3 linked regions of the Drosophila melanogaster genome follow. The protein of the gene in region 2 purifies or fractionates together with the protein of the main gene of each other region. This does not show direct contact. Each region holds a gene or a part of one and is shown on either strand. Other genes may lie near its edges.

Region 1 (3,180 bases), 8.4 Mb from region 2:
CGTCTCGTGGAGGTGGCGAGATCTGGTTGGGGGTAGTGATTTCGGCAATTAGGCATGATAGCCAGGCTATCGACTCGGCCTGAAAAGCTTTTTATCTACTGATAACGAATTTCACAGTCACAATGATAAGACCCAAAGACCCGCGAACCCCACAAGTTAAGGTTGCGTGCCATGGGAGTAGGAAAATCCAATTGTTAGAAATTAAACTTGGAGCTTATATTAAAGTATCACCTTATAGTCCTATAAATATATTTTTGAAGACTCCCCACTCAGCCTTTTTTAAATCAAACACCAAACATATTAATGTAACGTGACAAACTTCTGTATGTGGAAAATTACCTAACGAGCTGTAAACTTTTGATTTGTTCAGCGTTGAAAGAATTCAAAGTATGTTTTGTTTTCTTAAATAGGTCATTAAATGCGGAATTCAGTTTATACATAGGGAATGGAAAATCGAAATTGTTATGGAATTTATTAATGGGAAAATAGGGCTGAAAATTTAAATTTCCTAGATCGAGTAGCTGGTAAATATATTTACCCAAAAAAGGAAGCTTAATTAACACCCCCTATAAGAACACACATGTGTGCGCCTCTGTTCCGCTGGCTTTCACCTTCGTTGTCACGCGATTATCGTAAACTAGCGTGAGCTCAGTGCCCGACCCACTGAACCAGCCGTCGACCCTGGAGCCTCCAGCTCATTGATCTTTGTATACAATTTAATAAAACTAGTTATACCGCGACCAAGCAGCCCAGAACAGACGACGTATACCCCCCTATCCTTTAATCCGGTATCCGGGAGTTCCGCCTTGAGGAACCAGGTCGGCAGGCGGCGGCGTTATCCGTACACCTGGCATCCTGGTTATCTCTGGCCTCCTGGATCACGTCGTCGAGGGTCAACTGGATACGACTGTCCGGCCTCGGGTCCGGCCGCCTTTGGTTACACTTGAGCATGACTTTGAGGCGCGGGATCTTGGAGAGGTGGTCATAGAACCGCACTATATGCAAGGACCCAGAAGGCCTCGGTTCAGAGGCAGCACACACGGGCTGATCCCGGCAGTTGCACAAGAAACTGATGGCCTTCCGGCTGGAACTAACATCGAACTCGGCGCTGACCAGGTAGCAGGGCTCCAGGGAGAGCACTATACGCATCACTAGAGGAAGAGAGTCCGGGAGGAAGAGTAGGCCGAGCAACTGTCTCACTGGCACTGATCTTACCCGAAGAGGTCTCCAGGATCTGTGACCGGTTCTGAATCCAAACTGACCGTAAGCTCGGCTGATTGGAACGTGGGCTGCGGAGCGAGCTGTCCAGGTATTCCCGTATGGTCATCGCATGATTGGAGTGACGCAGTCCCAGGAGCTGTTGCCGTGAGTTGCCGGGCAAGGCGGCCAGAGGCAGGTTGTCGTAGACGGAGACATAGATCTTGTGGCTGATATAGACCACCACGAAGCACAGGATGACGATGAGCAGTCCGATAAGCAGGTAAGTGAACAGTGTCGGTATAAAGAAGATGGCGTCCAGAAACATGGGGTCGCTGATCCGGAAGTGCTAACTCACTGACAGAATACGCAAATCTACAGAGAGGGTTACGGGAATCCATGGGAGGATCTTCGAATCTCTTGGTTTTTGCAACATCTATGTAAATGTATTTATTTCGTAGTTTCTGTATTTTTTTATTGTTTATTTTTTGTTGTTTGTTTGTTGTCAATTTTTTTATGGATTTCTGCCTTGTTTTTTACATACGATTTTACATTGATAATATTATGCTTGTAATTTAATTGTATTCCACTCGATCTCCTTGCCTCCACTGCCTGCACGTCGGCTTAAAGTTGATTTTTCCGTGACCTCAAAACGATTTTGCCTTTTATTTTCGTTTCTGACCCGCCGGCGGGTTCCATCTACGCCCAAATGGGCGTGGCCTGCACACGGCGCAGACCCCTTACAAATGTTCTACATAGGCTCAACCTTTAGCATTTTGCATTTTGCTCATTTTCTAACAGTGTCTCATAGCTGAAATATTAGCACAGATATTTTCGATTTAAGCTTCTGGTCTGTAAAAATGTCAAAATTTTAGCTTTATCTCAGTATGTGTGCATTTCAAAATCGCATTTTCCAGTTATGACTTCATGTTTGAGAGGAGGTGGATGAGTGTGTGCGCGTGTGATGTAGCAACAGCTGTAGATAATGTTTCATGATCTATCGAGCAGATATAAGCTTTATAAATATATACACACAAATGTTCTTGTTGGCTGCGTTTTTTTCTGAGTGTTGTAAATGCAACTTCTCGTTTGGGCAATATTCATTAGTTCACACAGATACACACGCACACTCACCCAACACACAGGCAAACCCATGCTATCCGATATAAATTGTTGCAGTTATCTTCTCGTTAGCTGGCAGTTTTGGGAAATGCCTAGTACATTAGTTTTGAAACTTTAGAGGTATTCCAAGAAATGTGTATAATCAATCAATTTTAATTTTAAATTTTCAACTATCATAACGTGATTAAAAAGTATTGTATGGCTTTTTTTTAAAGCCCAAAACTCCAAAATTACAGTCTTACAATATAAGAAAATAAAACAACTTTCTAAACTTGACATATGTACATTTTTGAAGAACGGAAATACCTCTTTGATAACAGTTAAACTAGGCATTCGCTGTGCTCAAGCTTAAATTAGTTAATAAAAAATCATAAAACTATGTTAAGATTACAAAACACCTTTCGATGAAGAAACAAGAAACATGTTAAAAAATCATGAAGTTTTCACTGATTTTAATGTTTAATTGAAAAGTTTACGCTCGCTGACTTCACGTGGTACGCGTTTACTTGTAAGAATAATTTACTAAAATTAAAATTAAAATGGTTAATTAATTGCTGCCGTTGTGCTTTTGTTCTAGACAAAAAACAACGAATCATACAAGCAAAATACCATTGTTTCATTCAAGTCCTATCATTTCCATGACTTCATGCCTCGTATGAGAGTGTGTGAGTTGGTGTGTCTGTGTTTTGTGCCTGTGTGTGTAGCCTTTTATGATTTAAGTTATTACACATATATTCATCTTGTTTATTTCTTTTTTTAAAAACATTCAGATGTCTGTTGGATATTTAATGAAACGTTTTTGAGGAGGCAGCATGTCCCATAGATTATACAAATGGGCTCTCTTTTTCGAAAGACCCGGAG
Region 2 (4,817 bases):
CAACACAATTATTATGTGCTCATTTTGAACTAGAAGTTGCAAAGGAACAAATTCGATTCTAATTTAGACAACCAAATAATTGTGTAATTAAAGTCTAAAGGCACGTACTAATTGAAAGTACTATTACTTACCACTTAATATAGTTACAATTCTAACTTGCCTAATGTACATAACTGAACTCTTAATGTTTTATGCTAAACAATTACTAATGAAATTATTAATTTCTTCTTTAAGGTTAATATAATTACGGTAGGCATAAGTTAAAACAGGAATCTGAGATTTAAGGTTGTAAAATAATTAATAAATTATAAATAAAAAGCCATATGAACTGTAAAAAGTTAAATTGCTGTAGCTTGACCACTAAAATACACTACAATTAACACTTAGATCCTCTTAAATGGAAATAGATAAGGAGAAATTCCCCTATAGGCGTACCAAAGAATCGCAGATATGTATATTACTTATTAGTTTATTATATTGGTGTTAAATGCTGCACAGTTTTGCTTCCACAATAAAACTATTTAACGTGATCCCTATACACATTCTTTTTTTTTTTACTACTACGAGTACACAATGAATTATAAAAACAAACGATCACAATAGAGAGGTGAGTGCGTGGGCACACATGCAATTAATGTATCTGTATAAAAACATTTCATATAAATTGGTTTATTGGTTCGGTCATCCCAGCATCCCAGCTGCCTACCGCTCGGCTAGGACAAAGTGAAGTGCCACGGAGGACAGGAGGACCAGCAGGGCCACTGCGATTCCCACCATGTAAAGGCTGCGCGAAAGTTCCGGCTTTGGCATCGAACTGGTCATAATCCCAGAATCGTCTATGCAATCAGCGTCCATCTTGCAATTGTTGAAGTGCGTATCATCCGGGAGTCCCTCTGCCTCCACGGATATGGTCTCTGGATCTAGATCCACGTCCAGAATCTGTTTAGCCTGGGCCACCACAACAGTTGGTGCCTCGCCACGGAATAAGTACTCGGAAAACTGAACTACTGCTCCGACCGACGCACTGGGACCCTCTGAAGGCAGGCTGAAGAACACACGTCTCGGCGGCTCACTAATGTACAGAGCTTCATTGGTCACATATGGATCGGTGAGTCCATCGCAGTACACTTGTATACGCGTTATCAGCGAACGGAGCACATCGTCGCGTAGGAAACGCTTAACATCTGCTATACTGTTTCGAGGATTGCAGAATACCTTTGAGGTAATAATGCCGCTCATGTGCAGCGTGCCACTAAATTCGCGCACCTTGATGTCCGTCGGTTTGCTCAGCTGGCATTTCATGGGGAGCACGATGCTCGCCCGGATGGTTTCAGTGCCTCCGATGATTCCTTCGGACGCAAGCCGCGGCAGGGAGTCAGTGGTGTTGCTCGAGGCAGTGGCCGTGCCACCTGTTGTCGATGTCGGTTGCAGCTTGTCCACTTTCGTCTTTTTCTTTTTGATATAGGCCTGCAGATCGATGGTGTCCTCGACAACTTCGTTTTGGAGGAATACTTCACTGGCGAGCAGGTTCTTGCGCACCGACACTATCATACTCTGGAACTGGTCTTCGATGTTGACGCGACGCGAGGAGTCCAGTATGGGCAGCACATCATCGAAATCGTAGCTGCACTCCAGCTGAATCCACTCGAAGGGTTTGTCCACAAACCGGAACTCCATATTGGTGAAAGTGCCGCCGCTATCAAAAGAAATACTCATATTATATTTAGGCTAGGAAAAGTCTGAATGTAATCAAACTACCATATAAACATGAACAATCCTAATGGTTAACTAACACATAAAATGCATTCCAAGAAATAAGAAACACAAGGACAAGGATAGCAAAGAAAGTGATTATTGAACATAGAACATAAGTTATGAAAGTACATAGTTCTCAACTTTTTAGTTACCATATGATGCATTTTATGTTTGCCGTAAAATACGTTTTTTTGCAATGTCTAGTTATAAATTGTAAGCGATTCGTTTGGTGAAAGAAAGAATACACATTGAGACCCGTATCTGTGATCAGGGATTACGTTTCCGATACTCACTTGCCATAGCTGTAGTTCTTGCAGAGCACTTTCTTGTCGGCCAGCGAATACGAGAGGAATACGAAATCAGTCTGTGCAATGTCGGTGGTGTAGACGCCAAACGAGCTGTTGCTTTTCAGGAGCAAACTGGAAAAGTAAGAAAAGAGGTCATTTCAAATGGAGACTCATATCATACTCATATAGTTAGTGACTTACTCGTAAATATCTGAAAACAGCTTTTTGGCATTCTTAAATTCGGCGCTCTGTTCGTTTACTACATCGGATCTTACTGAAGACACAAAGATTCCTGCAAAGATAAATAATTCATTAATAATTAATTCTAGATGGTAAGTCCTAAAGCTTCGCTTACTTTCATCTTAGTTAAGTACCTAAGTTTACATTACTGGTTTCACTACCCATTACTGATAGCTTAAAGATTTATCTATGACGAAAGATCAAAAGTTTCGAATTGACAGATTAAACAGTCAAATTGGGTGGGTTAGCCCATATACAAAACATACAAAAAAAAAGGGTTTGGCTAAATTTCGAATCCACGGGAGGAATACAAGGTCCCCATAAATAATATGCCTTAGCATTATGACTATGATTATTTCTGGGTAGGGCAGATAAAACTGCAGGGGCAGCACGCAAACCCACCGATGACGTCAAAAGATCCGGGACACATTTTGCTGGCGCTCAGCCACTGGGAGGCCAATGCCTGTGAGTTGATGTCCGAGATGGTGAGCCGGACCTCCGACAGGTCCTCCAGATCCGCATCCTCCTCGTTGTTCCTGGCCAGGTGGACCACCACGCTCTTGGTGAGATCCGCTTGCTATTTCAACCGAAGCGGATGAAACCAGGAGAAAGTGGAGATTCAGTTGAGCGGGGGAACCAAACAAAATCTACGTGGCGGATGGCACTTACATGGCCCACGATTATCCCGTACGAGAACTGGTTCTCCTGTGCGCATTTCTCCAGGTACAGCTCGTCGTGTTTGCTCAACAGCACTGTGCGCATCGTGGCTCTGGGGTTTCTGTTTACTTCGTAAATTTAATGTTAACTATATTCGTTCCGAAATGACAAATTTTTAGAGCTGGGTACACCCCCCACGATAGTAGCTGTAATCGAATACTTGCTATCGAGGCTAAATTTCGATAGTGAGCGATAGTGCTAAGCTATTCAAATTTGAATTCAATTGCTATTTATTTTCGGATTTTAAAAATAACGCCACAATCAAGTCCATTGACCTTAATTAAATGGTGTTTGGGAATTTATTTATTTTGAATGTGCCGACTATCGATACGCACCAGCTCTATGAATTGGTGTGACCGAAGGTTATATTTTAAAAGTATGGATTATGAGGTAAATTCTTATCGATATTTAACGAAGTTTATTTAAAAAAGCTTGCCATCTCTAGAAAACTGTTAAATTTAAAAATATATTCGAAATTTTAAAAAGTGTAATTAATAAAACAACATTACCCTTTTTTTTTACTAAGAATAACTACTAAATTTTACATGTTTGTCCAAGATTTATTTAAAAAGTGTTTCAAATACCATGTGCAACATCTAGATAATATAATATATATGTTTAACAGCTCCTGGCGAGGCATTTAAAAAAAAAAATAACATTCAATAACTGTATACGTATAAATACGTAAATATACCTTATTTAAATAACTCCCTGAATGTTTATACAAATTTTATGAGAATAGGCACACTTTACTTTTATCAATTAGAACATGATTGAATAGATTTATTTATTAATTTTAAGAAATTGACAAGCAGTAATTTAAAGAAGACTCTTTGATATAGGGTTGTTTATTATTGAAATGTAATTGCAGTTTACTTTTGATTTTTCTTTACGAATCGATAAAGTCCTTGAGTGTTTATTTTCCTAATCTTTAGACACTCGACTTAGGATATTAAGACTTAATTTACCTCCGCGACTGCAAAGCGATGAAAGTATGTATGTATGTACCCCCGTGGCAGGTTCTTCAATTAAGGCCCCCGGCTCCAGCAGCAACATAATCTCCATCTCCATCTCCCAATTCCGCTGCACTGCATCAGCTGCCGTGGGGCGATTACGCACGACGTCTGGCCGAAGAGCGGACCCCATGAGTACGGATCCGTGCCACCCAAATGGTCAAGTGGCCGGTGGACTATGGCGCGAACGGACGCGATCGGTAATCGAATTAGGTAAACAAACACTCCATAAGGCGGGCGTACGTTGATAATGTGTGCATAAGCAAATAGGAGACCGTATTGGGATTGGAATTGGGATTGGGATTGGGGCTGGAACTCTGCGCTGGACGGATGGATTGGATGGACTGCGATGGATGGGGAGATCTCGAGGAGCGGGTTGCGATTGCGGCGGCGATGACGGGCGAAAAAAAACTAAATGAAATTTCATTTAGGTGGTCGCCAACGGCTGCGGACCATCTGCTTGTGTGAATGCTTGATTGTTGAAGTGCCACTTGATGGGGCGAGGGCGCACGCTACTCGCGGGGATTACACTGGCCAAAATTGGGATCAAATGGTTACGAAATATGTATATACCATATATAACACTATTCCATAGAGACCATTGATTCAACTCTTTAAATATTGCTATAGATCTTGAGTAAACTAGTAAAAAAAAATCGTAAAAAATATTTTTAAAAATTTCAGACTTTAATTAAGAACTCTTACTGTCAAGTTAAGACAAAAAAATGTTGTAAGAAGATAATTCTGTTACTTTAAATTATCCCAGAAAACAATGGAATGAAAAATATCTCAGTGCTGAAAGGTT
Region 3 (4,381 bases), 3.1 Mb from region 2:
CTAAATCCTGCCTGCCACCCACAGTCGTTGATCAAATTAAGCTGTGGGAATTAGAGCGAAATCGCTTCACCTACACCGAAGGCGTGCTGTACAATCAGTTCCTCTCGCATACAGATTTCGTAACGCTACGAGACTACGCCCAGTCGATCCACATGCTGGTGTGGCAAAATGAGCGAACTCGCACAATGGTGGTGCAAAAGAATGGCCACGACGATGTCAAGCGTTACTGGAAGAAGTACTCTAAGAGTGGTGTTTAGCCCGGTATTACGACCAATTATTGGGAAGTTATTTTAGAAGTAACATCTGTGCCCATTTTGTTACAAGCTAAAATTTTAAAATATGGTTTAATAAGGGAGTGTGGGATTACACATTTATCATCGACATTCAACATACAAGTGGAATAAAATTAAAATACACAAGTATCATACACATAAAAACAGAAAACCACCAAAGCTTTTCCTAGATTGTCCTTTAGGATGGGTCGACATGTAATATTGCTAAACGTAAAAAACAGTGAAGAGACAACTAACAAATGCATACAAAATAATTTTATTTACCCAATAAAATAGAAAATTTAGAATGTCCTATACGTTATACCTAAAGAAAGCATATCGAAACATCCTCGCCTACCTAAATGCGAGTGGAAAAGAAACTAGCTCAACCTAATACAAAATGGGACGCTGGGGCATGCAGAGATTGTAGTAGCTGCCCTTGGCCCAAAAGTCCATGCCCTTCCAGCCGCACCAACCTTTAATTTGAATGGTGGCCAAATCATCGGCACCTGTATAATGGGGATCCAAGATGAGGAACTTCACCTGACCCGTCTGCACGCAGTAGTCCACCCCGATAATGGTGTGGGCCAGAACACCGCCACCAATCATTACCGGTGTACCTTGCGTTTGGAAATGCATCGCCAGCTCGGAGGCAATAGTCGCCAGCTCAGCTCCAGAGGCTACGTGCAGAATTTTTGAGTCCACGTTAAGGAATCCCTGCAGACACATGCTGATTTCTGTGGAACCAATCCACTGAGAAGAACCCACGAATGCAGCAGGTTTGTCGTTGATCTTGTGAAGGTATTCCTGCACCTCCAGATGCGTCGGAATCGGTGCGTTCGTATAACCCTGCAGCACAAACCAGGAGCAGATCGTCTGCAGCGAGCGATATGCGCATCCCCATCCCTTGTCCTGCACCTGCTGTTGCAGGTAATGATAGTAATGGTAGTTACCATTTACTAAGTACTCTTTGCCGTCGACAACTCCACTGGGACGTAATCCGATGTGGGTATTTAGCAGCGGAGTCCATGGTGCGTCCTCCGTTTCACCTAGGAAAAGCATCTGGTTGGCCCTGCGGAAATAAGGACGACTGATGGGCAAAGCAAACTGTCGATGCAGGCGCTTGCGTCTCATTAGCATGCTTGGTGTATCGTCACTCAGACCTTCCAGATAGGCGCAGCTCACGAAGTGACCAAACTCTTGTGGGTAGAAGTGATAGCTAGCGGGCACCAGCAGCTTTCCACTTCCCGACTCCGTGAGATGCTCAATCAGGCTCAGTTCGAACAATCTGAGACCTCTGCAGATGCTCTCGATGAGTACGTCGTATAGCCGTTGGAGCTTCGTTTTGCGGCAGAGAATGGCCATGGCTTCGATCTCTAATGGTACCTGGACTCGGATCTGTTCCTCATTGGTCACAGCAATGCTGAGTGCCGGATGAGGTGGCTCTCCGGACACGGGATCACGACTGCGCGAGCGCATCACATCGATGGGGATCACCTCGTAGTCGCAGCCAGTCGGAGCCAGTCTCTTGACTGGCGTGTTCTGACCTTTAAGCTTCTTTTTGTCGACACTGGCAGTCTCCTTTTCATGTCCTGGAGTTGGAATGACGTCTATAAGATCCTGAATTTGGGAATCGCCGCTAAACTGTTTGTCCAGTGGCCCGTAGTTATTAATGAAAATCTTTGTCTGCGGAACGTTAAACACTAGATTTCCGTCGGCTACCCTTTTGCGCAGCACATGCATTTCCCGGGCCACGGATTCCGGTGTGGCGGCCGTTTGCAGAAAGAATCCGCACTGCAGCCGGGTGAAGCAGAAGTCGTTGTACAGCTGATGTGCCTCCATAACCTCGTAGGGTACCTCCTCCAGTTTTCCATGGACGAAAAACGAGGCCCGCAAGCCCACCAAGGTGCCCAATTCGCATTGCAGTAGGATGGGATTATCGGTGATATCCACAGATTTGATGACCTCATTAAGGTGCGCCTCTCCATCGGTGCAACCACCAAACTTGACCAGTCCGCATAAATCCAGTTCCGCCGGGAATCTGTGTTGGATCTGCTCGTAGTTCAGTTGTCCCAAACTGGACTCAATGTTGAAGCTCAGTAGGAGTAAGGTACCTTCTCCATAGAAAACTCCAAACAAGCATCCACTGCACTGCTGCTTTGTTCGCTCCAGGCGCTAAAATTGGTGAAACCGCGTAAACGATATATGGTTAAATAAACGATTTATAGTCTCACCTTCAACAGGAATGCGGATATTTTTAGTTTGGGTAGCATATTTCTGATAAATGTATGAAAATAAAATAAAGTAACACGGCCACCCACCCGAGTAAATGTTGCTCAGCTGGCAATTTTTTATCGATAACTGAGTGTCTGTATGGTATTTTCCTATCGACATACATATGTATATTTATTGGAAAGTTTGAAAATGAATTCAAATAAATTGTTTGGATAGAAATGTATGCATTGACATTTTGGTAGGATTTTAGGTTAGAGATTCATTGGTTTAATTATTAAAATGTGAGCCAACGTTTTATATAATAGTCCATTATTTCCAATATATATACATATGTATTTGCTGCGACAGTTTTCCATCTGCACAACTAATTAAAAAGTTCATTCAAGTACACACACATATAACATTTATTTAATATATATTTTATATTGAATTCGGCATAGTGTATAGATTCGCAAAAATGTTATAAACGCAGCCCAACACCGCGCCACTGGCTCCATGACTCTCCCATCGACTATCATCCATAGTCCACAATTCGTTAATTCTATCAATGTTACACATTTATATACAGTACATAATTGCGTGGTGCCTCTTATATTTGCTTCAACTGGAATATCGTGCTCCTTCTCGATTTGCTTTCGTGCCTACTAATTTACATTAAGAGTTTTCAAGCGGTTTTGTTTTGTTTGCCTTTAGTTAGGACATCTACAAACTACTAGGCTTTAGAATTTTCTAATTAATTTCATTGCTAAATTGTATGATTTGCGCAAAAACAGAAGCTTACTTAGAGAAAAAAAGTTTAAAACGCAACCCCCCGCTCTACAGATATATATTGAATTCCTGCGGCCTTCCATTTCCTGCCCACCATCCGCGCCCATTCTCATCACGAATAACTATTTAATCGCGAAACTTAAAACACAAGCATCCATATCCACCGCGGCTACTCTGGCGCTACTTCCTCTGCTTGGCAGCAGAAGTGGCTGCAGATCCTCCTGATCCAGAGGATCCTCCACCGGTCACAGCCGATGTATCCTTGCGTGGTGCTGTGGAGATGGTCACGCTTGGACTGGCGGGCTTTGTCGTTGTCATCGAAGTTTTACAGCCACTGTTGTGGGGCTTAGTTTTGGGCGTTCCAGGAGTTGTGGTTTTACCTAAAAGTGAGGAAGCAAAGAAATGTTAAGTATTTGTTTTTTTCTTTGGCGTTAAATCCATTACCCTGGTCGACCTTCTTGCTTTTGCCAGCAGGCTCCATCTCTGGCTGCTCAGTGGCCTTTACCTTTGTCGGCTTTTCCAGGGTTTGAGTGGGCGAAGATGAGGATTCCCCCTCCGCAAACTCTTCGATAGCAGGCATAAATCCCTCGGACACACTGCTGCTGTCTTGGGTACTAGTGGGCGAATCCTTCTCCTCGGCAATACGCGGTAAAGGTTCACAATTGGCCAGGGTAACCACAGCGGTGGCACTTGGGTCAGTTCCGGCAGCGGTTGTGGAGACCACTGTTGCCATAGCAGTTTGTCTTTGAGATTCCTCAGAAGCGGCAGGCACCAACTGCAGGGGTTGAACTGAAGGAGCCCCCAAAACTGCTCCTCCAGCTCCCGATGCACTGCCGCCAGGCGTCGACCTCCAAGTCGTGGTCACCACTCGTTGGTGGGTCGGCTGTTTGATAGGCGGCGAACAGCATAGTGGCGATATCTTTGTCTCCGCGCTACGGGGATGCAAGCGATCCGGAGACAAGGCGCGCCTTAGCAGCGGAGAACTAGGTTCCGCTGACTTGGTTCGTGCAAATCCTGCCTTCTTCGTGTTTGCGTTCACCGCCGTCTGCAACGTGGGCAGCGTGCTTCCCGGACTATAAGATTGTGTGGTGTTTGAGGCACCGGGC

What was found.
Region 1: the proteins of CG10616 (region 2) and CG3288 purify together in Drosophila melanogaster (affinity purification with mass spectrometry, with the first as the bait; one large-scale study listed by BioGRID). This does not show direct contact.
Region 3: the proteins of CG10616 (region 2) and Ufsp2 purify together in Drosophila melanogaster (affinity purification with mass spectrometry, with the first as the bait; one large-scale study listed by BioGRID). This does not show direct contact.

What each region holds. Positions count from the first base shown.
Region 1 is NT_037436.4:20,834,556-20,837,735, reverse strand, and holds CG3288 (uncharacterized protein), read right to left. Parts: upstream 1,555-3,180; 5' UTR 1,526-1,554; coding exon 1,216-1,525; exon of another isoform or gene 1,152-1,215; coding exon 781-1,151; 3' UTR 583-780; downstream 1-582.
Region 2 is NT_037436.4:12,470,064-12,474,880, reverse strand, and holds CG10616 (uncharacterized protein), read right to left. Parts: upstream 3,154-4,817; 5' UTR 3,045-3,153; coding exon 2,952-3,044; intron 2,860-2,951; coding exon 2,685-2,859; intron 2,335-2,684; coding exon 2,244-2,334; intron 2,175-2,243; coding exon 2,049-2,174; intron 1,956-2,048; coding exon 1,908-1,955; intron 1,697-1,907; coding exon 703-1,696; 3' UTR 602-702; downstream 1-601. UniProt on the Drosophila melanogaster protein: May play a role in the trafficking of a subset of G-protein coupled receptors.
Region 3 is NT_037436.4:15,574,828-15,579,208, reverse strand, and holds Ufsp2 (UFM1 specific peptidase 2), read right to left. Parts: upstream 2,640-4,381; 5' UTR 2,546-2,639; coding exon 2,507-2,545; intron 2,448-2,506; coding exon 663-2,447; 3' UTR 535-662; downstream 1-534. Other genes in the region: mrn (marionette), read left to right, coding at 1-257; dop (drop out), read right to left, coding at 3,456-3,655, 3,720-4,381. UniProt on the Drosophila melanogaster protein: Thiol protease which recognizes and hydrolyzes the peptide bond at the C-terminal Gly of UFM1, a ubiquitin-like modifier protein bound to a number of target proteins. Does not hydrolyze SUMO1 or ISG15 ubiquitin-like proteins.